Linked DNA regions of Tamandua tetradactyla. The protein of the gene in region 2 interacts with the protein of the main gene of each other region in a pairwise test. Links are inferred from orthologs where the notes say so. Each region holds a gene or a part of one and is shown on either strand. Other genes may lie near its edges.

Region 1 (7,919 bases), on a different chromosome or scaffold from region 2:
CCCACTCCCTCACCCCCCCAGTGGCCCACTGCTGTCCCCCCAGCTCTCCCCAGCCCAGGCTTGGGACAGGAGTCTCGGCAGCCCACGCCAAGCCATCCACAGCTGCAACCCTTCCCCGGCCCTGCTTCCCGTGCCAAGGCCTCGCCTCCAGGCCTGCAAGGAGTTCGCTCTGGAGCCAGCCAGGCAGATTTGCTCATTTCCTTCGTTTTATCCCCAGCGCGGGCCTGGGACAGGGGCGGGGCTGGGCCCCCACTCCAGGCCGGCGCGTGGCCGCCACTCACATGTTCTTCTGGGCCTGGATGATGGCGTTGACGTCGTCCGCGTCCACCATGTTCAGGATGCGGCTGCAGAAGACCCTCGAGGCCGAGTCCGGGGGCTCCATCCCTCCCTCTGTCTTCGCTGCCTGGAATGGGCAGGAAGAGCCTGGTCAGTGCCAGGCCCCAGGTGGCGTCACTAGGCCCCCGAGCCTCAGCTGGGAATTTGGGGGGGTTAGGAGAACTAGAGGAGGTTGCTTTGGGCTGAACTGTGTCCCCCCAAAAGACATCAGAGTCCTGGCACCCAGTGTTGCAAACGGGGCCTCCTCTGGAAGGAGGGCCTCTGCAGCTGCCGTCCGCGAAGCCGCAGTCATGATGGAGCCACGCGGCCCCTGACCCACTAGGTCGGGGAGCTGGACCCACATGGACAGGGGCAGAGAGGAGCACACCGCTGCACAGGCAGTCTTCAGGGGAGGTCCTGCTGCGCAGGCACGTCCCACCCAGACCCCTCCCAGTTCCTCGGCCCCCAGGGCCCTGGCATTCTCGCCTGCGGAGCTCAGTCAGCCGCCTCCCTTGCCTGCTCTGCTCCAGGGCCTCTGCGCTAGCTGTTTCCATGGCTGGACTGTGCGCGGCGGCCCCTCGAATCACCATTCACCCCCACGGACTCCTCCCCAAGAAGTCCTACATGGCCACCCCGACCCTGCCCCTCATCACTTGGCCTCGTTTGGATCTCTTCATTCCAAAAATTATCTCCATCCTGAGCTGGCCTGTTGGTCTGCTGCCCCTGCCTCCACGGCAGCCCCAGGAAGGACCCACATCTGTCTTGTTCGCTCCTCTGCCTCCAGGGCTGACCCAGAACCTGGCTCATAGTGCTCCCCAGAACTTAGCTGACATAAGAGTTTTATTACCAAGTTAAAGCCAAGGGTTTCAGGCTCTGGCCACCCAGCTGTGCAGCACCCATCTTCCCTGGCAAAACTCAGGCTGAGGGTTGCTTCCCAGGCCCTTGAACAGGAAGGGTCACGGTTTCCATGCCATCCCTCCTGGAGGGGGTAGGAAAAGCCTGAAATCCCAGCTGGCTTAGCTCTGGGGCCCATACATGTAGTGGCTGACCGACAGGGCTGGTTAAGATCACAGTCCGCAGAGCCTGTCCACCCTCCCATTTACTGGACACCTGCTGGATGTCAAACACAGCACCAAAACCGCACACGGAGAACTGTTAACGTCCTTATTTACGGAGAAGGAAAGGGAGGCTCGAAGAGGCTGAAAACGTGACCTTGTCCCACAGAACAGTGGGCCCAGGCGTCACAAACCCCATGCCCACTGCCCTGCGGGCTCTACAGAGGTGTGACTCTAAACAGGTGTCCAGTGGCCACCCGTGGTGCATAGCTGCTTCCTGCAGCAATCTGGGCCAGACTTCTGACTTTTTCCCCCCAAGAAAAAATGGAAAGAGAAATTTCTTTCTGGGCGATCTGATCACCTCATTCACAAATGTTAGTAACTAACATATATTCTTTCCAAAACACCATGGAGGCTCGCTCCTACTCCCGCCCCTCAATAAGCCCCTCAAATCATTGCTAGGGGTTGACTGACCTGCCACGTGACAGGCAAGGGCAGAAACATTCGCACATTGCCAGAGAAGCCCAATTATCCATGGTGTGAAAAGTGACTTGGGGTCCAAGGACCGGGTACCATGGCCACAGCTAATGCCTGGTAGAGGCAGGGTGTGGACCCATGGGGATTGGTTCCATTTCACGTTCTTTCTTGCCTCTGGCGCCACGGCCCGCAAGTGCACACACGAACGCCAGCTGCCTCTCTCAGGAAGCCCTCCCTGACTAACCATACAGAAGATAAATGATCCAGCCAGGGCTCAGAATACATTTATGGGGGTAACACGTGGAGAGGGAGGCTGTGTGAGCTTGGCAAAGTCGCTGTACCTCTCTGAATCGGTTTTCTCATCCGAAATGAGACTAAGGAAGAGTGGGGTTCTCAGGATGCCGTCGGCGGGGACGTAAACCACGGAGGTAAAAGGCGGGGCTCAGAGCCGGGGTGGGGTGGGGAGCGGTGTCTGATGCAGTCCTGGGAGGGGCCCAGAAACCAGCACCTAAACGAGTGCCCCTCCCTCTCCGGGCTCCCAAGAATATAAGCAAACGCTGGTACAGAACTTCGGTTAATCCCGATCAACCCTTGTGGCAGGCGCTCTGTGCTCTGGGGGAAACTGAGGCTCGCAGGTTCACTGCCCAAGGTCACGCGGCGAAGCGCGGAGGCACCGCGACGCCACCTGGGTTAGAGAGCAATAAAGCCGGGACTTTGCGGCCCGAGGTCAGAAAAACCCCGGAGTGGGTCGGAATCCCCTCCTCCCCTCGGGTCCCGCCCCTGCAAGACAGGGAAACTAAGGCCCAAGCCCGACAGAGCCTGGACGGAGGCATCCCCAATTCCCGCGCCGTGCGCACCCACTGCGCAGACGGGGACACTGAGGCCTGCGCGCAGGAGGGGAGCCCAGATGTGGCCAGCGGCGCTCCCACCCCGCGGCAGCCCGGGGACCGAGGCCGACCCCGCCCGGCTCCCCCGCGGCCCCGGCCCGGGCGTCCCCGGCCCCACCCCGACCCCGCCCCAGCGGCGGCGGCGGCGGCACCTACACATCTGGCGGCCTTGCTCGCGTTTCCGGGATGGCGCCCGCGCCGCCGAACGTCACCACGCACCGTGCGTGCATGCTAGGATGCGCGTCAACGACGAGCCCCGAGGCCAGCGCGCGTCGTGCGCGGAGACGCGGCGAGGCGGGGCTGGACGCGATCCCCTGTTCGCTGTGCGTCAGAGTGAAGAGCCAATGAAGAGGTCCCTCTCGCGCCTGCGCAATTCCCAGCTGCAGCTCCGAGACAGCCCGGAAGTGGGGAGGCGCGAAACGGGGCTGATCCCTTCTCACAGATGAAGAGCCTGCGGTCCGAGAGTGGCCGGTGCTACCCTGAGATCGCTCACGGCTCCGGAACCAGGGCATCCGGCCCTGCAGGCTGGGAGTCAGCCTCGCCTGGGTTCCAAAGTCCCTGCTCCTGTAGAATTGCTGTGTGACCCGACAGACCCGCATTTGGGTATAAGCTCCAAAGATTTCAAAGCAGAGGCTGAGACAGACATTTGCACATGGATATTCACAGCGACGTTATTCACAACAGCCCAAAGATGGAAGCAGCCCAAGTGTCCGCAACAGACGAATGGATAAGCCAAGCGTGGTGCGTACACGGGATGGAGAATTACGCAGCCGTGGAAAGGAAGGGACTTCTAAGGGAACGCAGAAACGCGGATGAGCCTTGAAGATGCCATGCTACGTGAGATGCGCCAGACACAAAACGACAAATATTTTATGATCATGCTGATGTGAAATGACTAGAATAAGCAAATTTATAGCGTTAGAAACTGGAATATAGGATCCCCGGGGCCTGGGTGGGGGAAGGGAACGAGGAGTGGAGAACAGATTAGTGATAGCCAGCGTGAGCAGAATTAAATGGGATTGGTATGGCTATAAAGGGGTAGTACAACCATCTGTGTAATGATAGAACATTTCTGTATCTTCATTGTTATGGTGGTTTCACGAATCTACATACGTGCTAAAATTGCACACACACATATACAAATGAGTGCGCGTAAAAGTGGTGAAGTCTGGATAAGGTTTGTGGATTGTACCAATATCAACCTCCTGGCTTTGATAGCATACTATAGTTATGTTAGTGCTCCATTAGTGCAGACTTTCTGTTTGGGGTGAGGGAGACGTTTTGGTAATGGGTGGTGGTGATGAAGCACATTATTGTGTACTATATAATTAACACCACCGAATTATATATTTCAGGTTGTGTATGTGTTACCAGAATAAATATTTCTGAAAGAATCCCTGTGCCACCTCAGGTGATCCTTTTCTAGTGTGGGATCCCATCCTGGATGCCACATGCAATGAGTGCCAGGTGTCCCTTGTCCTCTCCAGTCAATGGCAGTTCGCCAGGCTCTCCGTCTTTCCTCACCTTAATACTTCTGAAGAGTACTGCTCAGTTTTTTGCAGAGTATCCCTCTGTGTGGGTTTGCCCTCGGGATTAGGTTGAGATGATGTGTTTCAGGTGTGCGTTTTCGTCGCCTTCTGGGTACCTCGCAGCAGGAGGCACGGGCTGTGGGTGTATCTGCTTATGGTGCTGTCCTTGCTTACAAAGCAGCGTGTCACTGGCTCCGCGTCCCAGCTCCCCGAGCGGCCGCCCTGTACCTCCCTGCCAAGGTTTCAGCAGACCTCACAAAATGCCATCTCGACTCGAACTCTCCATGGAAACTGATGATTACGTTTCACGGATATACCGGAGACAAAGGCTACTTAAAGGAGGACCTGAGAGTACTCATGGAAAAGGAGTTCTCCAGATTTTTGGAAAAATAAAAAGGACCTTCTGGCTGCGAACAAAATAACGAAGGATCTGGTCCAGTTTTGAGATGGCTAAGTGGGCTTTCAGAACTTCTTTTCGCTAATTCCTGGGCTCGCCATTGTGTGCAATGATTGTTTTTCAGTACAAGTGAAGCAGATGGGAAAGAAGTGCTCAATTTTTGTGTCTTATGTGACATTCTTCTACCTTCATAAGAATTATCCCCAGAGTCACGTAAGGAATCTACCCTACGCTTCCCCTGCATAAGGATTTCATAACAGACTGGGGTCCTCAAAATATGCACAAATAAAATCCAACTCCCATTTGACAAGTAATGAAAGAAAAGTCAGTAAAGTGCTAGATAAGCTTTTATTTTATGTTGTTTGCATCCTCGTGCCTTCGAGAAACAATTTTCTTTTCTAATACCTTAAAACAAAAAAAAGCAGTGTCTGCTAAAACTATAAACATGTGGCAGGTGCAAATGCCCCACTAATTTTGGCACCCAGGAACGGATCTTGCGGCAACAGTTAATACTGAGTTGTTTGCCCCGTGGTGGTTTTTGATTACCATCAGTCCTTGTACCGAGATTATTCAAATTCCGTGGCCCTTCTCCTTCAATTATTTGTTTATAGCACTATTACTCCATAGGCATTTATTTTCATCTATGGGTTATAAGTAATTGCTACCTGTAATTACTTTGCTGCCTCTTCCAGTTGACACCTGTGTCCTTTTCACGTGTTCCTGTCATTCTCTTCCTTACTTTTCTGACACCACAAGGTGCTCCAGGCTTTGGTATAGCCCTGGAATCAGCCATTTCTCCAAAAAGCCTCGATCCTTTTCCTGGAGAAGAGTGTTAGAAGTCAGGCCTGGGTCTTGGATGGGCTCCTAGGCCCTGCCAGCTGGGACGTAGACATGCAGAGACTAGCCTGTGCACACGCCCCCTCTATTTCCTTCCTGCTCTCTCTCCTCGTATCCATATTAAAGACTGTGTCCGCACGCAGCTGGGAAGATGCATTTTTACGTGTGGTCACCCAGGTTAAATGCATGAACCAAACCGGGCAAATAAGAATTGCTCGATAAGTGTTACTACTAAATTTCAGTCATCCTTGAGATAATATGCCCCATAGCACACTTCATCGTGGGCTGGACACATGCAGCGTCCACCCCTGCGGCTGCTGAGAGAGGGGAGATGTGGAGACAAGAATCTTCAGATGCAGGAATTGCCTTGTGGCCCTGGAATGGTTCCCCTCAAGGCCTTCTCCCAGCTCTGCCGTCCCATCCTGGCTGGGTGGCCTTGGGCAGGGCTTGTGCCTGTCAGCTGTGCTGTGCCCGTTTGCATCTGCCTCGCAGGGGTGCTAGGGACTCGTTCTGGAAGAGCGGACGATGGGGTCGGTGCACCGTGGCCCTCGATGAGCTAACTAGGTAACGTTACTCTTCACGCTCTGCCCCACTCGTTCCCTGAGAAGTCACTCAGGGACCCACCTCTTGGTGGGGCAACCTGCGGTCTCCTGCTTCAACGGTGCTTGCACAGGCCCTACTGTGGTCCCGGAGTGTCCCGGGGCACCCCCTCCCCCCAAAAAAAGTCAGTGATCAGCATTCTCATTTATTTATTCAATGAATATGTTTAAACATTGTTCATGAAGACTCCCTGCTACTCCCTCTCCAAGTGAACCAAGAGCTGGGGTTCCTAGAGGGCTTCGTCCCTGCCTAACCCTGGAGGAGGAGGGGAGACCCCATCAGGCCCAGGTGCCCCCACCTTACGGGGATCAGCGCTGGGCTAGAGGAAGGGACTCAAGGTTGAAGGAGCCTGACAGTGGGTAGTGAGGGCTCATTGTCGGGGCAAGGAAGGCTGCAAGGAGGTGCTGTACATGGGGACTGGGTTTTGAGGTAGGAATAGGAGCTCTCTGGCACAGCCAGTCATTCAGGGCTGAGGGAATCACAGGATAAAAAGCAGGATGGTGAGAAGATATATAGTGTGGACTTGACCTTTGTAAGAATTGGGGAACTTGGTGAGCCAGGCAGCAGCCTACATGGGCTGGGGAGCCGGGGTGGGGGCTGCCTGGAAAACGGAACCACGGCTGTCTGCAGGCCGCAGCGGAAGAGGCCCAGGCTGGAGAGACCAAACTTCTCAATGGGTCCCTTGGGCGCTGCTGGAGGCCAGGAAACATTTACGAGGGTCTTGGAACGGGGCTGGGGGCCTAATGGGCCTGGATAACCCCTAATACTTGGAGCACCACGGGGTGGAGGCCAGAAAAGGTTTTCCTCCTTTGTGTGTTGAAGGGAGAGGGTGGGAAGTGGCGGGAACGCTGCTCTGCCAGCAGCTGCCCAGGTGGGGGTGGACGGGGAAGTCTTTCATTTGCCCCAAGTGGAAGATCAACTTCCCCTCCCAGGTCCTCACCACAGTCCTCGGGCCCCAACGCAGTCTGGCTTCGGGTTTGTTGTCCCAGGCCCAGAGCCTTGTCCCAGCTGCTGAAAATCGGACTTTTCTGGCTCAGCAGAAATGGGGAGGCCCAAGTTTGGAGACCGGAAGCCTTTTTCCCCAGTTTATTTCCTCCGTAACACTTACCACAGCTGAGACTAAATACTCATTGACACCACCATTTGGATAACATCTGTCTGCCCTGGCTGGGAGGGAAGCTCAGTGGTGGGGAGGGGTGTGGCCCATCTTGCCCTTCCTCACTGTGTCCTTGATCCAGGTAATTAACATCTTTGTGCCTTAGTTTCCCCTTCTGGGAGATGACGGTCATAAGAGTCTTACCAAAACATACTCCACCAATCCAAAAGAAAGCAAAAAAGAAGAGAAAAAAGGAGTAGAGGAAAATGCATAACATGAAGGCATTTTGAAGCTTCGATGTGCACATAATTACATTAAATGTGAACAGACCAAAACTCCATTTAAAAGACAAAGATCGGCAGATTGGAACAAAAAGCAAAGCTGGACCGAGGCTGCCGACAACACACACATGCACCGTGTAAAACTACAGAAAGGCAGGAAGGAAAAGTCTGGGGGCTTTGGAAGTGAACCCACCGAGAGTGGGGGTGCCATTCGAGTGTCAGACAAAGTCCCCTCAGGCAAGAAGCCCAGAGATGCCATGGTCATGAGAGGTTCAGCTGGACAGGGAGATGCGACAAATCACCCCACCCCAGTGATGGCAGGACGTGGCTCCTGACACTGGTGAGTTTGCACCTGAGGTCAATGCGCGGAAAGTGAGGAGGGCAGCATGTGTGACCCCTGACACCACCGATGTGTCCCAGCGCTATTGTCATATGTGTTTACTGC
Region 2 (7,412 bases):
TAAACATGCAGTTACTGACTCCCTCCTCCTCCTTCCCTTCACCTTACATTTACAACAAGGTAATATGCTCTATTTACTTATTAATCTCAAGGGCAAAAGCTGAGCTTTTAACTTCCTTTATACTGGACAGAGCATCGTTCCCCCAAAGATGCATATATTATGCTGCGTATATTATGACTCTAACTCTTGCTCTCCATTTTAAATCCATTGCCCCTTCCTTATTTAGCCCATAGGCAGAACTGTGCTAACCCCCGCTTTGAGAAAAGAAGGCTTTTCTTCCTGCTTCCATTTTCAACCCACCCGAACAGACTTTGGCTTCATACCCACAACCTTCCTGTCCTATTTCTTGTTCTCTCACGTATCTCTAAGAATACTTCTTGGCCTGTTGGGAAAATTAACACAGGGGAGAGAGGTTTTGTCCCCACACTCTACATGTGTCATTGGTTTTTGTTAGATTCCTGTATAATTGTGAGGAGGCGTCTTTCAAATGAATATACTGAGTTGACCATATCTAGGTTGGGGTGACGTGGTTGTGTGTGTGTATGAGTGGTATGTGTGAGAAACAGTTAATATTCATCCCCAGGAAATTTCTTTATCTTTCTGATAATATGACTATATTGTCTAGAGCCTCTTTTTCCCTCTCCCTCTCCCAAGATCTCAGGTTAGACTTGTTTGGTTTTATTATTTTCATCACTCCTGGAAAAATCTCAAGCACACATGCTAGCTGTTTCAGCATAAGGACTTTCTCAGACAGTTAATACCCAACATCTCACAAAAATGTTATTAACCTAATATTGTGGCAGTTTTTGAGAGCTTCTATCCCCATGACAGCTTACTGGATCCAGGGAGTCTATCTGGAAACTAAGATCGGGCAACTCTAGCAGATCATCAAGCACTCGCCCAAAGCCCTGGGTTTTTTTTTTTTTTCTTCCAGTTTTTAAAGAAAGGATAATTAGTGGTTTGCAAAGCTCCAAACATTTGGAAACTATGGGTATATATAATATATATTATCCACTTTCTATGTGGCATCATATATTCAACTGTTACCACTTCTAGAGGCACTGAAAGTAGTGGAAATCGAAAGAGAAGATCTGAAACCTAATAGCAAAATGGCTGAATGTAAGGATCTGAACTTATTTGTGAATGCCCACTCTGTCCCTCTAGCTAGTTCCCAAATCCAAATATGATTTTCAAGTAACACATGCTCCTATTTTCCTGTTAATTCAGTTCTCTGAGAATTGTTAACTCAGTTCCCTCAGAATTGACTGTTTCCATCAATACTACGATATTCTTCTGTCACTGTTAAGATTCCTAAAGTACATTTCTCCCAGGAATCTTTCCTATCTAGTCTCTCATTTATTTTTGTGGTAAACTTCAAGGTTGAAGATGAAGGAAGCTAGGTGAATGGAGGATAATATGAAGTGGAAAAGAGGATTTATTTCATTTTCAAATGGGAAAATTCAGCCCTTGAGAAGCTGAGTGATTTACTCAGGTTCATAGAGTAAAGTCTGGTGGTGATACCCTTATACCCTAAGATTACTTCTTAGCTTCTATTATAGTCTAACACTATATGAACCTCCCTGCTGCCTTATGGCATCTCCTGGCATGAGGACAGATGTCCAGATTGGCCAAGATAAATAAATCCATACAGGGCCAGGGTCAGTGTGTCCTCTTAAGCCCATTGTGAAATCTGAGCTGTTTTGGGGGAAGCTGGGAGATGAGAGATTCCCTATTAATACACATATCTATGTGCCAAGTTTTGGACACAAAAGCTAAGAATGTAGCATGGGGGAGGAGGTAAGAGTATCAGCAGCCTGGACTTGGAGTCCCTTCCCTTTGTCTAGTTCCTGGGAAAGAGAATTAAATTCCAGGAGGCATGAGGGTAGATAAAAAAAAATATGAGATTTCTATATGTCTTAAAAAAATAAATATATATACCATTATGAGGGTGTTCTAGCATGTTATTATATGCAAAGATATGAGCGAGTATATATTTCTGTCTTCTGTGGACATACAAGTATGTATATGTTGAAGTCTGTGTGGAATTTAGTCATACATTAATGTGAACATCTTTATATAGAGATTACACCATCCCCCATCTAATACTCACATCAGCTGCCTTCTTCTCTGCCAGCTCCAGCTTCTCTTGGGCATCCTTCAAAGCCTCAGAATATTTGTCCAGCTCATCCTCTGTTCCTTTCAGCTTCTTCTGCATGGCTGCTAGCTCATCCTCCAGCTGCAGGAGTCCAGAGAGACACACAAAAACACACATACATAATAGTGCAGCCTTGGACTCTTGGCTCTTGAACGCTAATAGACTCTTGAGTTCAGCCACCATTTTACTATCCAGAGAGACACAATTTCTCTCTCATCATTTTTAGCCCCTGCCCCAAGAGTTATGCTATGACTTGGCCTATGTCTTTGTAATCTCTGACCCTAAGATGACCAAGCCATGCTGGGTTTTCATCTAAGACCCTGGGATGGCAAATATTATCTAAGAGTATAAATGTCTGTGACTCCATTTAAGGAAAAAGAGATGCTGCACGCCAGGCTCCCACCTTTTCCTCTAAAAGTCAGGGATTCTTCCAAAAGATGGTCCATTCCACTTAAATCCTTAGCACGGGCCACTGATTTTCCCAACATCACACAGGTAGTTTGAGGCAGATGTCCTCTGGCCTTCAAATGAGATTGGAGAAAAAAGTCCCTCCTACCCAAAGAAGAAGGTGACAACAGTGGTCTCTTCCTTTCCCATGATAACTCTCCCGTCTCACTATTTTGTTGACCAGCATGTAAGTGAGACCAGTGCCAGTGCCTACCTGTTTACTTCTTTCCTCTGCCTGTTTCTGCTCGGCTTCAGCTTGCTCTGCCCGATCCAGAGCATTCTCCTTGTCCAGCTTCAGCATCTGCATCTTTTTCTTGATGGCCTCCATCATGAGCGGTGGTTATTGGTGGGCTCACCTGGAGAATTGGAGACTAGGTCAAGAAAGGAGGGGCTGCTGCCTGAGTACCTAGGAGTTGCCTAGACTTGAGCCTTTATATCTGCTCTCAGCTCCACCTCTTGTTCCTAACATGGTCTTTCCAGCTCCCTCCATCCCATCTTTGTTTTCCTGGGGGAACACAGGGTGAGACACTTTGATAGACTGACATCACCAGCAAAGAAAAATTTGGGAACAGCTGAGGCTGATTTTAGAAAATGGAAAGTGGGGGAGGAGGCTCTCCCTGAACCCTGAAACTTTCCACTCATTCTGGGAAGCACTATGGTTGTTTTAAAAGAGCAGGGAGAGGGCCAGGGGAAGAGATAGCATTGATATCAGAGAAGGGGACTTTGGAAATTATAGAATGGCATTGAGTTTTCACCCAGAGTCCTAATTGCCCCTCAGCTTCTCCCTTACTCTCACCCGGACTGAGCTGGATACTGATCAGACTGCACTGTTTTTTTTTTTTATCATTTGATTTCTGGTAGTCAGGGAGCTTTGGCAACAATGAAGAGGGGAGGTCATTCATGATCCTTGACAAATCCCCCAGATCCCCAGATCGAATTGCTGTGTTATTTTGGGAATCCCTAAATGGCGGGGTGGGGGGCGTGGACATCTTCCTCCACCCTCCACCCACCCCCCACCGAAGAACCACAGGAATGGAGTAAGAGGGTAGGTTGGAATCTGGAAGGCCATCCCAGAGCTTGAAGTAGGGTGGGGAGAGAAGCAGGGGAGGGTCAGAGTGGGCGCGACAAGATAATACCCTCTTCTTCTCATAGTGTCTTTTAAATAGAACTTTTGTGCCCATACAGACCAAGGTTTTACTGGTCTCTACTCTTCTTTCCCCTCACCCTCTGCCCTTCGTACACCCCACCCCCCACCACTCATATCACAATCAGCAGCAGTAGCAGCTCTGTGCTCCCTGGCTCAGTTCCAGGGCATGTTCATTCTTCCACTTGGAACCTTTTTGCTAACAGGTGGCAGTTGATCCCAGTACACTGGCGCCATCCAACCTGAGAATACGCCAGGGGAGAGGTGGACACTGCTCAAGGTGACCAGAGCTATCAGGGGAGAATATAAATGTCTCTAATTAGTCATTATATCAAAGCTAGATTGAGAGTGTTAATGCTAAGCCCCAGCAATGGGGAAACGGAGATGACCTCCAGGGAAGATGGCAGAGCTGGAATCCACTTCTGAGGGCTTCAGTCACTAAAAGTAGATAAATTGATCATCAGATGTTTCTTGAAGGAAAGCATAGAAGCCCAAGGAAGTAGGGAACAAAAGAGTCCCAGGGAGTAGCAAATGATAAGGTGGGAGACAGGCTGGTGGGGGTTGAATAAGGAGGAAAAAAATACAAGGGCAGGAGGAGATAAGGAAAAGAGCTATATCACCTTTGTCATCCCACTCCCACATCAACACTTCTGTTTAAGATTGAAATCATCATGGGTTTTAGCAATCGGTCATCCAGAAGGGGTCCTGGAAAGAAGAGGTTCACTAAAAAAGCTAAGAATCACAGAGCCCAGAGGTTGAGGTAGGATAAAGTATAATGCTGAATCGCCAACTGCTGTAAGAATGTTTGACATTTAGTTGGTTTCTAATTAAACAACCCAATATCAAACATATCAGACAGAAGCGGGCAGGAAAGCTTTGGTGGTCATCTGCCTTCCTCCCTATTGCAAAGAACAGGCAGTGCAGGTGAACTAGGCATCGATCATAGCTAGATGGCTGGCTTTTGCTCATCAGCTCTTCATGCCATCCCTGCATTTGCTCCTCTCCTTCCACTGCTCTGGCCTTTACTGGATCACGTTGCCCTAATACCAGGGAGGATACCTGGCAGGGCTCCACATCCGGGCACCTATCCTCCTCAAAAGCTCCACAGAGCTTCTCCCCCTCATGTCACGGCTGCAGGACTCTGAGGATCAGCAGTGTCAGCAGCTTCTCCTCAGCCTGCGACTTGCTCTCCTCCTCTCTAATCCAAGTGTCCCGAGGCTTTCCATCCCAGAGGGGCTTGATACCCTGCTATATCTTTTCAATAGAAATCCTAACCTTTCCAGATCACCCCCACAAGGCTGCTGAGGTCCATTCTGGCATCCTCCTGCTCTTAAGTGAAATAGCCAGAGAAATTCCCAATTGCTTGATTTCTTTTTTCCAACATTTTGTCCCTTCTCACCTTCTCCCCATGTCCTCCAGGCATCTTCCTTAAAACCACCCTTGGATGTCCAAAACAGAGGAGTAACTAGTCTCACAAGCATCTCTCCAAGTTTGGCAGCCTCCAACCTAAGCTCAGAGGAGAAAACTTAGGGTTTCCACTGCCTGGCAGGATCAAAACTAAGACTAAGAGACCAAGGGAAAGAAACCCCCTCTACCAGGGAGCAGCCTGAAGTCCTTGGGACCCTCCTCCTCTTCTCTTCTTCAGGACTTTTTGCCACAAGAACACCAGTGCCGGGGCTGCTTTCTCCAAGGGTGTTCCCTCACAGGGATCTGGCCTGGTTTCCTTCTGGGGGATTTTCCTTCCGAAGAGAATCAGATCTGTTGAATGTCATGTGGCAGGCAGATGCTTCTCTACACTGTGGCAGAAAGGATCACGGGTTATACCAGTATGTGGGGGTGGGGTGGGGGTCTGGGGTAGAAGTGTGGGGATGGGGGAGGAGGCTGTGCTGCAGCCTCAGGGCCTGTTCCATGTGTCCTTGTTCCCATTAGTGCAGATACCCATTGCCCCTCCTTCCCCACACCAGCTCTCCCCTGCCCTTCAACTGGATCAATACCCTGCCCCAAGCCCCAGTCAATTTCTGTTGTGTGGCTCTTGCCCTCCAGGGGAAGACTAACAGCACCCAGCTAGGCACTTGTGGTATTCTCTCTCTCTCTTTTTTTTTTAATGCAATTTTATTGCGATACATTCATACAGCACAGAACCCATCAGAAGTACACAATCACTGATTCACAGCATCATCACATGGTTGTGTGTACAGCCCCATGATCAAATTCAGAACATTTTCGTTACCCAGTAAAGAAATAAAAAGAAAAAAGAAAACCTTAAACCTCCCATACTCCTTATCCTCACAGATTATTGACCCATAGTGTTAGTGTGGTACATTTGTTACTGTTTATGAAAAAATATTAAAAATTGCTATTAACTGTAGTCCATAGTTCGTAATAGGTACATTTTTTTCCATATACCCCTCTATTATTATCTGCTTTAGTTCATGAAAGTACTTTTTAATATTTGTACCGTTAATCATGGATGTTGTCCTGTGGTGTTCTCCCTTTTTTTTTTTTTTTCCTGTGATGTTCTCTTATATCCTTGTTCCTTCATGGCTCCCAATGGGGGTGCATGTAATTTTTGCTTTCTTGCCCTCCCTTTCCCTAACCCACCCCCCAATTTCTAATTCCCTTCTCGGAGAACTTTGACCACATTGGATAACCAGAGGTTAAAGGGAGGCAGGCTGGGAAAGGAAATGAAAGGACTTTAGTGTTCAGGGAAATGGGGGACTGGAGGGACAGCCTGGGAATACGGAGGTGGGGGGGAGCAACTCTCTTAGAGGAAGGAGACTTTGACTGGACGGCATACAAGGCAGACACATCAGATGGACTTGAAAGTTGTCTAGCTCTCCTGCAAGGTCCTCTTCTGCAGCCATGTCAAACAAGACTGAACCCTTTTGAGCCAGAGAAGCTGGGTGAAGGCACTAGTTTCAGATGGAAGAAGGGCTGGCTGGGCATGAGAAGGTGAACTACTTCGTTGATTTGATGAGAGCAGACAGAGTAGAGCAATAGAATCAGAGGAGAGGGGCTCTCTGGGAGGGGCAGCCTGCCAATACTGGAGCTAGCCTGGCATTGACAAGCCCTGGGGAGAGAGGCCAAGGTCAGGGATCAAGGCAGATGGGGTGGGGTATTCTGCATGTCCAGATGAACAAAGGAAAGAGGAACAGAGGAATAAAAGAGGTTCCTGAGGAATGTGGTTTAGGTAGGAGCAGCCAGGTAATGAAAAGGAAATAACAGAACATTATTATAGGGCAGGAAGACATCATCATGGGTTACCATTATTTGACATTATGTGCCACCTCCCCGCTAACTGCTTTATATAGTCTCCATTGCAACCCAATGAGGTAGAAATAATCTCCATTTTACATATAAGCAACTGTGACCCAAAAAGTTAAGACCACACAGCCAGTGACAGAGCTAGGATTCAAACCCAGATATGTTCAATGTTAAAATCTGTTTTTCTGACCAAGCTACACTACTTATATGAAAAGCAAAGAACAGCCTGGGATACAGATACATAGGAGGATAAGAGAGGAGGTGAAGGCAATATAGGCCTGCTGAAAAATAGAGGGCAGGGGAACGGGCAGAAAGGATGGGAGACTCATACAGATTTGTGGGTTAAATTCAGGCTGTGTGTGGCTTTGTCTCCTGAAACTCACCTCCTATTTGTTGTGACTT
Region 3 (7,704 bases), on a different chromosome or scaffold from region 2:
AAAATTTGTTATAACTGATGATGACATTTTTTTAATAATTCTACTATTTTTTAACATTAGTTACATTTGTTACAATCAATGAAAGATCATTGAAGTAGTACTATAACTATTGTCCATAGTGTATGTACGGATATTTTTCTTACATAAATAAATAAAAATGAAGACACAATATACCAAAACTTATGATATATGGGTAAAGTCGTGCTTAGAGGGAAATTTATAGCTATAAATGTCTATATTAAGAAAGAGGAATGATCTCATCAACAATCTAACCGTCCACATTAAGATAATGGAAAAAGAAGAGCAAACTAAATGAAAGAAAGCAGAAGGAAGGAAATAATAAAGATTGGTGTGAAATTAGTGAAATATAGAATAAAAAGCAAAGAAAAATTAAATGAATTTTTAAAAATCTACATAATTGATGAACCTTTAGCTAGATTGGCCAAGGGAAATAGAAGGCTCAAATTACTAGAATCCAGAAGTGAAAAAGGAAACATTGCTATCAATTTTATAGAAATGAAAAGGATTATGAGAATACAGTGTTATGCAAACAAATTAGGTAAATCAGATAAAATGGACAAATTCTTAGAAAGACAAAAACTACCAAATTTGACACAAGAAGAAATAAGCATTCTGCAGAGACCTACAAAAAAGTGAGGAAAATAAAAAAAATTACCCCCACACACAAAAAAACACCCAGGCCCAAATGGCTTTATTGCTGAATTCTATCAAACATTTAAAGAACTAACACCAATTATTCACAAACTGTTTCAAAAAGAGGAAGAGAAGGGAACAATTTCCAATTCATTTTATGAGGTCAGTATTACCCTGATACTAAAATCAGACAAAGATATCACAGGAAAAGAAAACTACAGGCCAATATCGCTTATATTTATGTGCACAATTATCCTAAAGAAAAGTCTATCACACCAAGTCCAGTAAAATATAAAAAGAATTACACATTGTAACAAAGCAGTATTTATTCCAGGGATTGAAGGTTGGTTAAACACCTGGAAACCAATTAATACATACTTCATATTAACAGAATTTTTTAAATCACAGGGTCATCTCAATAGACACACAACAAGCATTTGACAAAACCCAACACCCTTTCATGATAAAAACACCCAGTGAACTAAGAATAGAAGGAAACATCCTCAACCTAATAAAACACATCTATGAAAAAAACAGAGCTAACATTATACTTAATGATTGAAGATTGATGTTTTCCCCCCTAATATCAGCAACAACACAGGGCTATCCATTCTTGCCACTTATATTCAACACTGTACCGGAGGTTCTAGCCAGGTCAATTAGGCAAGAAAAAAAAAATGTATCCAAATCAGAAAAGAAGTAAAACTACTTTATTCCCAAATGGCATGATCTTCTGTATAGAAAATCCCAAGGAACCCAATAAAAAGAACAAACAAACAAGTTCTGCAAGGTTGTGGGATAAAAGATCAATAAACACAAACTGTATTTTATAAATTTGCAATGAAGAATCTGAAAATGAAATTAAGAAAATTCCATTCACAATAGCATCAAATACTGAGAATAAATTTTAAAAAGGAAATGCTAAGCTTATACCCTGAAAACAACACATTGTTTAAAGAAATTAAAGAAAATTTACATAAATGTGAAAACATCCCATGTTCATGTATTGGAAGCTTAACATTGTTAAGATAGCAACACTCCCCAAAATTACCTACAAATTCATCACAATCCCTATCAGAATTCCAGCTGACTTCTTCGTGCAAACTGACAAGTTGATTCTAAAATTCATATGGGGAACCACAATAGCCAAAACACCTTGAAAATGAAGAACAAAGTAGGAGGATTCACACTTTACAATTGCAACACTTAGTATAAAGCAATGGCAATCAGAATGCTGTGGTACTGTCACAAGGGGTAAACATATGCATCAATGGAGCAGAGCTGAGAGTCCAGAAATAAAGCTATACACCTTTGGTCAATAAAGGCACCAAAATCATTCGTTAGGGAAAGAATCATCTTTTCAACAGAGTGATGGCTGGTTAGATACAAGAAAAGAAAAAAAAAGAAGAAGAATATGGACCCTTATCTCAGTATTATATAGAAACAAATAACTCAAAATGGTCAAAGACTGTAAGGTTTAAAACTTTTAAAAGAAAACATAGGCATAAATCTCTGTGACCTTGCACTGGCAATGAATTCTTAGCTAGGACACCAGAAGCATGAGGAACAAAAGAATATAAATTAATTGAACTTCAATTAAAATTAAAAGCATTTGTGCTTCAAAGAGCACCATTAAAAAAATACAAGGACAATTGACGAATGCGAAAAAATATTTGCAAATCCTATATCTGAAAAGAGACATATATCTAGAATGTATAAAGAAACACTTCCAACCCAATAATAAAAAGAGAAATGACCTACCCTGAAAAGAGGCAAAGGATCTGAACACGTATTTGTTCAAGGAAGATATTCAATGGCCAACAGGCATTCAAAAATAGGCTCAACATCATTAGTGTCCTGGGAAATGCAAATCAAAACCACAAACACCCATTGGGATGATTATAATTAAAGGAAAATAAGTGTTAACAACATGGAGAAATCAGAATCCCCACAAACTGCTGGGGGGAATGTAAAATGATGCAGCCACTTTGGAAAACTGTCTAGCAGTTCCTCAAATAATTATACACGGAGTTATCACATGATCCAGCAATTCCAAGCCTAGGTATATTCCTAAGAGAAATGAAACATTAATTCCACACAAAAACTTCAACGTAAATGTTCATAGCAGAATTATTCATAATAGCCAACAGGTGAAAACAACCCTAATACCTATTTATGGATGGATGGATAAAGAAAATGTGGTATATCCATACAATGTAACATTATCCAGCCATGGAAGAATGAAGTACTGATACGTTGTACAGTGTGGATAAACATTGTTCTGGTTTGCTAGTTGCCGAAAAGCAACACACCAGAGAGGGACTGGTCTACAATAAAAGGGGATTTATTTCGTTAGTTCTTGAGAGGAAAGGCAACTAACTTTCAACTGAGGTTCTTTCTTATGTGGGAAGGCACAGGGTGATCTCTGCTGGCCTTCTCTCTGGGCCTCTGGGTTCCAACAACTTTCCCCGAGGTGGTTTCTTTCTACATCTCCAAAGGCCTGGGCTGAGCTGCGAGTGCTGAGATGAGGTATGCTGAGCTGCTTGGGCTGTGGTTGCGCTCTCTTGTTTAAGCACCAGACAATTAAATCAAACATCATTCATTGCAGCAGGCACGCCTCCTAGCCAACTGCAGATGTAATGAACAACAGATCAGGTTCACCTACCAGTGGCTCATGTCCACAGGAACAGAACTAGGTGCCTTCACCTGGCCAGGTTGACAACTAAGTCTAACTACCACAAACATCATAATACATTTTCCTAAGTGAGAGAAGCCAGTCAGAAAAGTCCACATTACATGATTCTATTCAAACGGAAGTCTTCACCAAAGGAATAGGGATATCTATAGGGCACGATATAGATGCTTAGGGCTCTGGGAATGGGAGTTTATGGGAGGATACGAATGTGATGATGGTTTGTATATGAACATACTAAAAACCAGTGAAGTATACACTTTAAGTGGATTAAAGCTGTTTTGTAAAACTGGGCAAAAGGCAGGAAAAGGTAAATCACAAAATAAGTACAAGCGGCCAATAAAGATATGAAAAAATCCTCCCTAGTAATCAAAGTGAATGCAATTAAGATGACAACTTTTCACTATTAATTGGACAAAGTTATTTAAAAGGGAAAAGATAGTTCCCAATATGGGCCAAGAGCGGGCTCCTCTACTGCTTGAACTGGCACTTGCCTGGAAGGCCGTTTTGGCGTACCTTCAAAGGCATATTCTTACCCTACAATTTCACATGCACGAATTTATCCTAAGGAAATAGTCTTGGGTTAACTGAAAGACTCATCTGCAAGAATATGCAGCACTGATACAATGCCCAAAAATTTAAAAACATACGAATGTTCATAAATTATGTCCCATCCATACGCACTCATTAAAACTCAGCTATAATCCGATCATGTGAGGACCTTTTTTCTTTGTACTTTTCTGTACATTCTAAATTTTCTACACCAAACAGCCCTTGTTTTGTGGTCGAGTTTCTGGAGTCTTTGTTTTTCTAAAAAAAAAAAAGCCCTCAGGAGAGCAAACCGTCTTCCTGAAAGTGTGAGTTAAAGGAAGGAGCTCTCGGATCTGGGTCCAGTTCCTCCCCAGGCAGAGGACCAGAGGTCTACACCCGCCCGCTTCTGGAAGCCTACTTGAAGAGCTCCATTATCGAGGGTTCACCCCCTTCTCAGCTAGAAACTAGGTGTCTATACTCGCGTCCTAACGTGGGCCACCTAAAGTTAGGCAGGTCCGAAGGCAACGCCGGACCCGGGTTCGAAACACCGGAGTGCGTGGGCGAGAGCGGCTCAGCAGATGAACAAACGGGAGGCTCCCTGGTCGCTCCAGGTGAGGCCAGGGTGAAGGAGCGGAGACGGGAAACTCAGTCACAGACGTCCGGACACTCACATGACTTCATCTTCTCCAAAGAAAAGCTCGAGGCTTGACTCACTCGCTCACCCACGCAAAACGCAATTTAGCGCCGCAGCTCCATGAACCGAGGAACTGGCACTCAGTACGCATGCGCGCGCCCCGCCGTGCCGCCGGCCGGTCCCAGAAGGCCCCGCGCGTCGGTTTCCATGGCGATGCGCGCGCGCCCGATGTCGCGGGGTTGGCGCTGCCGCCGGAGTCGCGCGTTGCAGGTAACGGCGCCGCCGCCTCTGCCCCCAGCTCGCCGTTCTGGTCCGAATTTCCGGCTAAACTTTATTTCTGGGTCTTTCGGCGTCGCCCGGTCACCCAGCCCTAGTCCAGCTCGACCTCGCTCCCGCGTGTCACCTACAGGTGAACATAGCCGGGTCGTCCCGCCATTTCCTCTTGCGGAGCGCTGCTTGCTGAAGAGCAGCCTTTGGCGCGCCCCTCCCTGTTCAGAAAGTTTGACCGGTGCCCTGCACGACGGGCGCCAACTGGCCCTTGAACCCGACTGCAGACGGACTGGGCAACCCTGAGCGTTCGGGCAGGCAGATGGTGGTGACCCGAAGTGACTCTGCGCGAACTGGGCGGTGCCCTGGCCACGGCGAGGGGAAGGCCAAGGCCCTGGGGTTTGTGGCCCAGGGTCAGAGGTAACTGTGGCCCGAGGTTTACCCTCTTTTCCCTGTTCGTAGGCTTTCGCCAGTATTTTTCTTTTCTGTTTGAATCTCGTACCTTCAAGTTTGCTTTTATGTAATTTTTGCTTTGTTTTGCTTTTCATTTGAACCTTAAGGCTGACATTTGTCGATGCCCGCACTTGGAAATCCTAGTTCTTAGCAGTGTCTTCTTTCTGTGCTCCTAACCTGCTTAGCCTTGCACCCTTTTGTCCACAGTTTCTTCTTTAGTGTGCACCATCTCGTTGCCACTTTATGCCAACAGTTAGCTTTTTTCAAGACCAGTCGTCATTGCCTGACAGGACCTTGCATCTTTTTTTAATCTACAGTGATCCCTAAAGGAATGTATCCAGTATCAAGGACTCAAAACACCTCTAATTGCTCCTGAGCTCCTAAAGCGTATCTCCAGTGCACGTTTCCCCAGACCCGTGTGCCTACCCACAGCTCTACTTAAATGTCTACCATCTCAAACTCAGCGTGTCCCAGGCAGCTGCTGATATTCCCCAGAGCTGCTCCCCTTACAGTCTTAACCCACTTGAGTCACTGGAAACCATCCTTCCAGTTGGGCCTTGGTGACCTCCTCTATTTTTTTCACTCCCCACATTGTCTTCAGGCCACCATGATTTGGTGGTCTCCATGCTTATGTTTTTCCCTGTCCCCAACTTCAGCATTAACAGTCTTATACTATATTCCCTTTCTCTATCTCTTTCATATAAATAAGTAATATATATATATATGAATTTTTATAGTTCCTATAGATAAAACTACAATATTTTTAATCAGTATTTTGAGAATTGCAACTTCTAAACCAGGTAGATAAACTTGCCTAATATATAAGCACCTTAGTATTAACAGGCTAAAATTGAAAGATGTCCCTTAGCTTTTTTAGGTATAAATATGACACTGTTGCTGGAACAGACTATGGCAAGGGCTTTGCAGTTGACTAAGGAAGAATAAAATCCAGAGCCTTCTTCCAAGTGGGAAGGAGTCATGTAGGTATTTAGACTCTGTCCTGTACTCTTTCTTTAAATAATCACCCAAAGAGGCATCTTGAGATGGAGGCAAGTGATGGTTCCCAGGCTGCACACTGGACCCTAGTGAGTGAGTCACGGAGTTGATGCAGTGATCCATGTAACAGGCCACTCCTCCCAGGAAGCTGTTGGCCCTCATACCCCTACACTTGCCAGTCTCTTTTATCCAGTCCCCTGTTTTTTCTCTTTTTCCGTTGGGTTAATCCCTTATTGACCAAAGTAACCCAGTAGGATTGCTGCAACTTGCTGAGGGTCTGTAGGAGGTTACGGATCATGAACTTCCACTTTACTCAAATCTCATCTCCCACCTTGCCCTTATGCTGTCACTTCATAGAGAAACTTAAAGCTCTCAGAAATACACTCACTCTCCAGTTACCAAAACTGCAGGCCTTACCTACATCTGTAACATCTTTGCTTCCTTCCCTCTGCCTGTCCAAGATCACTCCTTACCTATGCTTTGGATTCCATCCCCTCCCACTGGCCAAAACCCTGCATGATCAATTACCCAATCTCTCCCCTGTGTATTCACCAGTTCCATCTCAACCAAATCTCTCCCGTGGCTTTTAAACATGCTCAAACTTCCCATCACAGAACAAAGAGAATAAAGAATCTCTCTTTTCATCCCCTTTTGGTTTCCAGTTATTGCCCAATCTCTCCTCCCTTTTGGTAGGCAAACGTATTCTAAAGAATGGCCACACTTGGTGCATCTATTCCTTGTCTCATTCCTCAGCCCTCTCTAGTCTGGCCTCTACCCTCATCACTATTCTAAAACAAAAACCACTAATCACACAGACATTTCCAGACTCTGTCTCCCTCTGATTCTCGGCAGCATTCGACACCACTGCATTAGATTTGAAACACTCCTTCACTTGGCTTCTGCATCCCACACTCATGCTTTTCCTGCTTGCACTCTGGTTCTCCCTTCTCCTCTGGGCTGCTCTAATATTGCAGTCCTTAAAGCTCAGTTTTCCTTCTCACTCTTCTCAGGCCTCCTATATTCTGACTTGAAGAACAAATCCCTGCCCATAGCTTTTAATGCCATCTATTTGTCCTTGATTCCCAACTTCATCTCCAACTTGACCTTCTTTTTTGAGCTTGATCACCATATATTCACCTAGCTGAATGGCATTGCCTCTTAATATCTCTGAGACACCTCCACCTCCACATGCACAAGGCTAACCATTCTCCCTGCTGGCACCCCACCCCTCACTGAGACCGCTTCCACTGTAACTAGATTCGTCCTTGATACCTCCCTTCCCCTCACCCCAATACCCAATGGGTCACCAACCGATGGTGGCTTTGTCTCTTGTGCATCTTTCTCATCTCTTCATCCTCACTTGGCACCTTGGTTCAAGCTCCTGCTTTCCCTCGCCAGACCTTCTGCAATTCTTGACTTAACTGGTCTCCCCTTCTCCCTGACTTTTTTCAACTCTACTCCCCACACTGCAGCCAGA
Region 4 (7,170 bases), on a different chromosome or scaffold from region 2:
GGGCTGGAATAGACATTTTCCAAAGAAGATATAAAAATGGCCAACAAGAACATGAAAAGGTACCCAACATCATTAATCATTATGTAAATGCAAATCAAAACCACAAGGAGATACACCCAGTAGGATGGCTAGAATTCAAAACATGAAAAATAAGAAGTGTTGGATGTGCAACAAGGATGTAAAAAAATTTGAACCTTCCTGCATTGCTGGTAGGAACGTGAAACACTGCAGCCATTGTTGAAAACAGTTTGTCAGATCCTCAAAAAGTTAAAATATGACCCAGAAATTCCACTTCTAGGTATATATCCAAAAGAATCAAAAACAAGGACTCAGATATTTACCTGTTCCATAAATGTATAAACATTTACCAATGTATATGTTGAATATGGCAGTAATTTTAATATTATGTTGTGAATAATAGCAGCATTATTCAAAAAAGACAAAAGATGGAAACAGCCCAAGTGTTGATAGATGAATGGATAAACAAAAGTGGTATAGACAGTTGATGGAATATTATTCAACCATAAAAAGGAATAAAGTTTCTTATACATGCCATGGTTGAACCTTGAAAATATTATGCTAAGTAAAATAAGACAGACACAAAAGGGCAAATATTGTATGATCCACTTACATGAAATATCTGGAATAAGCAAATTCATGGAGACAGAAAATCAAATACAGATTACTAGGGGATAGAGGAAGGGAAATTGGAGGTTATTCTTAATGGGTACAGAGTTCGCATTTGGGGTGTTGACAAGGTTTGCCCATGGATGGTAGTGATGGTAATACATTATAAGAATAATTACTGCCATTGGATTGTACACTTATAAGAGGTTAACAGGGCAAATTTTATGTTAATTATATGTTACTACAATTAAAAAAATTAAAACCAAACACTTGTACAGTATGAGCCCTCTCCTTTTAACTTTTTATTTTGAAATAATTTCAAATTTATATGAAAATTGCAGAAGTAGGACACAGAGATCCTTTATACCCTTCACCTCAATTTCTCACTGGCTAATATTTTTGAATCTTTGACAATAAGATGCACACACAATGTCCCATTACCCTTTAATACTCCACTGTGAAGTTCTGAAGGTCAAGAACATTTTCCTATGTGGAAACTACAATACAACAATCAAATCCAAGAAATTAACAGTGTTATTAATATCTGATCTTTAAATACCATTAAAAAATTTCTCTTTCTCCTTTCCACTTTAAAATTCCACAAGTACTACCCACATTTCCCTAACAGAAAAATCAAACAATGACATTGAAAATGTCCCTCCACTTCTGCACACACACCCGCAAATCCAAATCCCCTTCCCAGAGTCATCAATTAGGAACATAGGTCTCAGCAGACACTTTCCTGTGAAATGGAAACTGGGGTACAATTAACACAATTTTCCAACTTGCTTTCTTCTCATATCTTTTAACTTCCTGTATCCATTATAAATATATATAATGTAAAAATTAAGTCCAATACATTTGACTTTAATTATGTTTCTTCCTCATTTTAGAAATCTAATGCCCAGGTATTTCATGGTGTGCATGTGTATACTTGGATTTAGCCATTCCATTCCCATGTTTTGCTATGAAGAGCAAGGCTCCAGCACTGTTTTTGGTACATGGATCTGTGTCTTGTGTGATCCCTAGGAAGGTGACTTTCTCAAGAGAAACCTGACTAACACAGTGACTAAAAGGCAAACAAGTTATTTAAATGCTAAAAATTTTACCAGACGGGCTACTGCATAGTCTTTACCTACTGTTTTTCCCACCAGCTTGTATGTGAAGACCTGTGACACTAGATAGCACCCCTGCTCTCTTTGAAACAATCTGATGAACTGAAAACAGAATCTCACTTTCTTTTAAATTTCTTCCATTGATGGTAAAGTTGATTAAATCTTCATGCAAATATGTCAGCTTATTTGAGGAACTGGAAAGAGAAATACCAAAAGTCTTCTTTAGGACAGTGGCAATCACTGCAGCTGCATAATAAAAGGGATATACATGCATCTGTCTTGTTTCTTTTCTGTTGTCCTTAGAGGAGGGCTGTGGTAGGGTGCCATGCTGTATCCTAAGCCAGCTTTGTGCTAAACTCACCTCACTGTTCAAATATTTATGTGTAAATGTGCGAAGCAGGCTCTGTTGTAAGCAAGTTCGGAGGGAGCGACCGCCACCTGCATTGACAAAGCACCTCAATGTGCCTGAACGGGTGGAGCGCGAGCCAACCTGACAGGGTCAACAAGTGACCTCATGTGGGAGTCACTGCACAATTCCATGTTACATACATCTGAAATCCCCACAAAACACCCAATAGCAGGGGGAGAAGTTTTCAATTCTCTACTCTGCTGGGCTGCGATCTCTGAACTTCTGAACAAATTAAAGGGGCTGCCATGTCCCTCTTTCCCTGGACAAGGGGAGTGCCGTCACTCTGGTCAGTGTCAGGAAGAAAAGAGGGACTCCGTGGGAGGAAATCCACGTGTAAGAGCCACTATGGGATAAAGAGGAGAATTTGGATACCGGTTGGTTGTGAGATGAAGATAACGGGAATTATTCATTCCCTTAAGTGCGGCAGGAGAAGAGAGAGTTCTTTATTTTAAGAGGTACGAACGGAAATTCTTAGGAAAGAAATGAAACGACGTCTTGAGCAAAATCTGGATCAAATAATGAGTTAAATCCAGGTGGGAGGAATGTGGGTAAATGTGCCTCCCATTTGTGGAACAGCCGAGGCTTCCCACAAACGTGGCTTCCATCTGGAGAGAGCAGGGGATGCCTCCCGCCCCTCCGCCGGCGCCTGGTGCCCCGAGCCCCTTCCCAAGCCCAGTTCCCAAGGAGGGCCTCGCCGCCTCCACACCACTACCTCCAGCTGGCTCCACGCTGTCCACGGCTCCTGTGGGCTCCGCGCTCGAAGGCCCCGACCTTCCCGCCATTTCCGCCATTTCCGTCCTACCCGTTGGTGCCTCACGTGATGATTGGGCCCCACCCTCGTGGGGGCGGGACGGCCGCAGCACGCCTGCGCAGTGCAGCCTCAGGAGCCGAGGGTGTTGGTTCCGGGCCTGCGCGAGGGCCGAGCCAGCACTGGCCAGTTGACAGTCAGTGTCCTGCGCATGGACACTACTGCCGGCCGCGCCAATCTTCCACGCTGGTGTTGCACTACTGTGCATGTGCGCAGCTCTCTGCCCATATTCTTCCTCGTGGGTGGTATCTTCATTCCGTGCGTGAAAATTCTGGACTTCAGCACGGCTCAGACATGACGAGTGTTCTGCCCGGACCATACAGGCCAGAATGTACCTGTCTCACCTTATCAGTCTTTAAACCACAAGCTCTGATGGCGCTGCCTCTCGGCAGGAGCAGAGGAAGCAGAGGAACGCGGGAGGGACGAAGGAACACCCGAATTGGAAGTTCAGTCAGAAGGCCGAGCCCTGGTGCAGGGCTAGAGAGTCAGGCGCGAGACATCATCCAGTGGGCATGCAGAGGAAGGGAAATGGGGTCCAAAGTTTCCACAAGCCAGGCGCGTGCCTGGGGGTCCTGACGTTCACCTGGTGCATGGTCCCCCTGCCATGCATCCCCCCATCAGCGTCGGCCACAGGGTCCCGGACACCCCCATGCTGGGTCTGGAGAGAGGGGCTACGAACAGAAAGCCCTTGGCTCCCCACTTGGCCCCCATGAGCTTCCCTCTGGAAACCCGGCAAGTAGCTGCCTGGGGTCAGACTCCTGGGCAGTGGTGCAGTGCTTCAGCAGGTTGTGGAGCGTGTCCTCCTTCATGTGGTGCAGGAGGTGGTCACCTGGGGCCTGAGGCAGGTGGAGCTCCAAGGAGGAGATCACCGGCAGGGCTGGGAGAGGGATGAGGATTAGAGGGTGGCAGAGCCACCCCAACCCCTTCTAGGGCTGCCTCTTGGCCATGCCTGGAGGTTAAATTAATGTTTCTGCACGTTAGTTAATTAACGTAGATTGTGGGACCTGGGTGTGAGTGGTACAGGATTGAAGGACCTCAATCTGCTCATCTGTGGGCTGCAGTCACCTGACACTTAACAAATGTTCTAAGAGCACCCCCCCCCAGCTTTCCATATATGTAGGTTAGACTAATATGCAACTGCAGGTAGCACTTATCAAACATTGTCCAGTTGTTCCAGTACCATTTATGAAGAGACTATTCTTTCCCCATTAAGTGGACTTGACACCCCTGTCATGTGTGGATTTACTTCTGAACTCAATTTTATTCTAGTGCTCAATAGGCATGTCCTTGTGCCAGTACAACACTGTTTTGTACTGGCACAAGGGCATAGTTTGTATTAAGTTTTGAATTGCTAGATATAGCAATTCAATTGCTAGGTATAGAATCCTTAGCTGGCAACTTTTTTTTTTTTTTACTGAACTTTGTTATCCCCTTGCTTTTTGACCCCAATGGTTTCTGATTAGAAATTGGTACTTAATCTTACTGAGGGAGCCTTGTACATGATATATTACCTCTCTGTTGCAGCTTTAAGGATCCTCCTTTTTTTCCTTTGGCATTCAGCAATTTAATTACAGTGTGTCTTGTGGCTCTCTTTGGGTTTATCCTGTTTGAAGTTCATTGTGATTGTCTCTCATTAAATTTGGGAAGTTTCTTGAATGTTCTTTCTGCCTCCTCTCTTTTTCTCCTTCTGTGATTCCCATAATACTTATAGTGATGTTTTAGTTTGTTAATGCAATGTGCCAGAAATGGGTTGGCTATTATAAAGAGAATTTATTAAGTTACAAGTTTATAGTCCTAAGGCCATAAAAAAAGAGATGAACTAAGGTATCCAGAGAAAGGTAACTTGACTCAAGAAAGGCTGATCTGGGAAGACGTGTGGCTGACATCTGCTGGCCGTTCAGCTTTTGGTTTCAAATGACTTAGCCAGGGGCATTTTCTTTCTGCATCTCCAAACGTCTTTGTCTATTGGCTTTGAAGCTTTTCCCAAAATGGTTCCTGCTTAGAGGACTGCAGTGAGCACGCCACCTTGAATGGGTGGAGTACATCTCCATGGAAACCACATAGTCAAAGCATCCCACCCACAATTGTGTGGATCACATCTCCATGGAAACAACTTAATAAAAAAGATCACACCCAACCATATTAAATAACATGGTTTTTCTGGGGTACACAACATTTTCAAACTGGCACAATTGGTATGTTTGATGGCCTCCTACTGGACTCTTAGGCTTTGTTCAGTTTTCTTTGTTTCTGCTCCTTAGATTGTACAATATTAATTGTCACATCTTCAAGTTCACTGTTTTTTTCTTCTGCCAGCTCCAATCTGCTGTTGAACCACTCTGAGGAATTTTTAATTTTAGTTATTATGGTTTTCAGCCCTAGTATTTATTTTTTTTTAACTTTTTTATTGTGTAGTATAACATATATACAAAGAAATAAAAAAGCAATAGTTTTCAAAGCATTCCTCAACAAGTAGTTACAGGTCAGATTCCAGAGTTTGCCATGGGCTACCATACGATCCCCTCAAATTTTTCCTTCTAGCTACTCCAGAATATAGGAGGCTAGAAGGCTTAAATATTTGTTTTATTATCACAATTGATTATTTTTCCTTTTTTGTGAAAAATAACATATATACAAAAAAGCTATAAAATTCAAAGCACAGCACCACAATTAGTTGTAAAACATGTTTCAGAGTTTAACATGGGTTACGATTCCACAATTTTAGGTTTTTACTTCTAGCTACTCTATAATACTGGAGACTAAAAGAGACATCAATTTAATGATTCAGCATTCGTATTCATTTGTTAAATCCTATCTTCTCTGTATAACTCCACCATTACCTTTAATCTTTCCAACCCTCTCTTTAGGGTTGTTTGGGTTATGGTCATTCTAACTTTTTCATATTGGAAGGGTCTGTTACTAATATGGGGTAGGGAGATGGAACTATCTGATGTTCTGGAGAGGCTGGGCCCTCTAGGTTTCAGGACTTATCTGGACCAGGGACCCATCTGGAGGTTGTAGGTTTATGGAAAGTTACTCTAGTGCATGGACCCCTTGTGGAATCTTATATATTGCCATAGGTGTTCTTAAGGATTGGCTGGAATAGCCTTGGTTGGAGGTTGACAGGTTATGATAGGTAGCAAGGTCTAACTGAAGCTTGCATAAGAGCAACCTCCAGAGTAGTCTCTCGACTCTATTTGAATTCTTTCTACCACTGATATTTTACACTTCTTTCCCCCCTTTTGGTCAGCATGGGATTGTTGATCACATCATGCCAGGACCAGATTCATCCCTGGGAGTCATCTCCCACATTGCCAGGGAGACTTTCACTCCTGAATGTCATATCCCATGTAGAGGGGAAGGTAATGATTTCACTTGCTTAGAGAAAGTGAGGCCACATCTGAGCAACAAAAGAGGTCCTCCAGTAGTAACTCTTAGCATGCCTATAGGTAGTCTAACCTTCTCTGCTACATACCTAAGCTTCACAAGAGTAAGCCTCATGATCGAGGGCTTGGTCTATTGAGTTGGGTGTCCCTAAAATTTGACACAGTATAATGACACTCCCTGATGGTAAGATTTAATAGTTTCATATTCTTTCTTCCCTCCTTCAGGGGACTTTACCAGTACTTTTTGATTATCTGCTTAATATACTCTAGGATGTATCCAGGCATTACAATATTCTGTACAAGATTATAGGCCCTCTTTCTTATTCTGGGCTCCTGGTTTTTTAATTGTTGAAATGAGTTATACAGATCGGTTGAATTAGATTATGCCCTACATAAAATTTCGGTTCCATTGGTCTCAAAGACTATGTGTGCATCTAAAATATAAACACTGTCTTCCTTACCCCTATTTTCTAAATTACTTTAACCCAAATCTGTTCAACTTCTTTCTTATCTCTAAACATCAGGTTATATATATAAAACAGCCTCTTAAAATACAGAAATAATAATCACCACTCTGGACTTAATGTGTCTGCTCTAAAGCTTATAATCTAGGCCCCTGTGTTCTTATAAACATTTACTAAAGGTGACCATACCATTCTTATTCTTTTGTTTCTGGCTTATTTTGTCTCACCAAATGTCCCACATGTTCATTCACATTGTTGCATGCCTCAAGACTTTGTTCCTTTTTGTAACAGCACAACCTTCATTCATAAGTATACACCATTGATCGCCAATCCACTTCTCCATCAGTGCATCCTTCAGCCA

Evidence for each region.
Region 1: the proteins of TPM3 (region 2) and KXD1 interact in binary tests that used the Homo sapiens proteins (3 or more experiments, as listed by UniProt). The two-hybrid records come from large-scale screens. The link is inferred for Tamandua tetradactyla from reciprocal best matches to the Homo sapiens genes TPM3 and KXD1.
Region 3: the proteins of TPM3 (region 2) and LCA5L interact in binary tests that used the Homo sapiens proteins (3 or more experiments, as listed by UniProt). The two-hybrid records come from large-scale screens. The link is inferred for Tamandua tetradactyla from reciprocal best matches to the Homo sapiens genes TPM3 and LCA5L.
Region 4: the proteins of TPM3 (region 2) and SYCE1 interact in binary tests that used the Homo sapiens proteins (3 or more experiments, as listed by UniProt). The two-hybrid records come from large-scale screens. The link is inferred for Tamandua tetradactyla from reciprocal best matches to the Homo sapiens genes TPM3 and SYCE1.

The regions. Positions count from the first base shown.
Region 1 is NC_135337.1:96,084,596-96,092,514, forward strand, and holds the start of KXD1 (kxDL motif-containing protein 1), read right to left. Parts: upstream 3,001-7,919; 5' UTR 2,891-3,000; intron 2,703-2,890; exon of another isoform or gene 2,189-2,702; intron 404-2,188; 5' UTR 383-403; coding exon 282-382; intron 1-281.
Region 2 is NC_135330.1:7,154,260-7,161,671, forward strand, and holds the start of TPM3 (tropomyosin alpha-3 chain), read right to left. Parts: upstream 3,017-7,412; 5' UTR 2,934-3,016; coding exon 2,817-2,933; intron 2,237-2,816; coding exon 2,111-2,236; intron 1,944-2,110; exon of another isoform or gene 1-1,943. UniProt on the Homo sapiens protein: Binds to actin filaments in muscle and non-muscle cells. Plays a central role, in association with the troponin complex, in the calcium dependent regulation of vertebrate striated muscle contraction.
Region 3 is NC_135336.1:102,196,862-102,204,565, forward strand, and holds the start of LCA5L (lebercilin-like protein), read left to right. Parts: upstream 1-4,692; 5' UTR 4,693-4,781; exon of another isoform or gene 4,782-4,920; intron 4,921-4,926; exon of another isoform or gene 4,927-5,198; intron 5,199-7,704.
Region 4 is NC_135339.1:96,812,020-96,819,189, reverse strand, and holds the start of SYCE1 (synaptonemal complex central element protein 1), read right to left. Parts: upstream 3,001-7,170; 5' UTR 2,943-3,000; coding exon 2,864-2,942; intron 1-2,863. UniProt on the Homo sapiens protein: Major component of the transverse central element of synaptonemal complexes (SCS), formed between homologous chromosomes during meiotic prophase. Requires SYCP1 in order to be incorporated into the central element.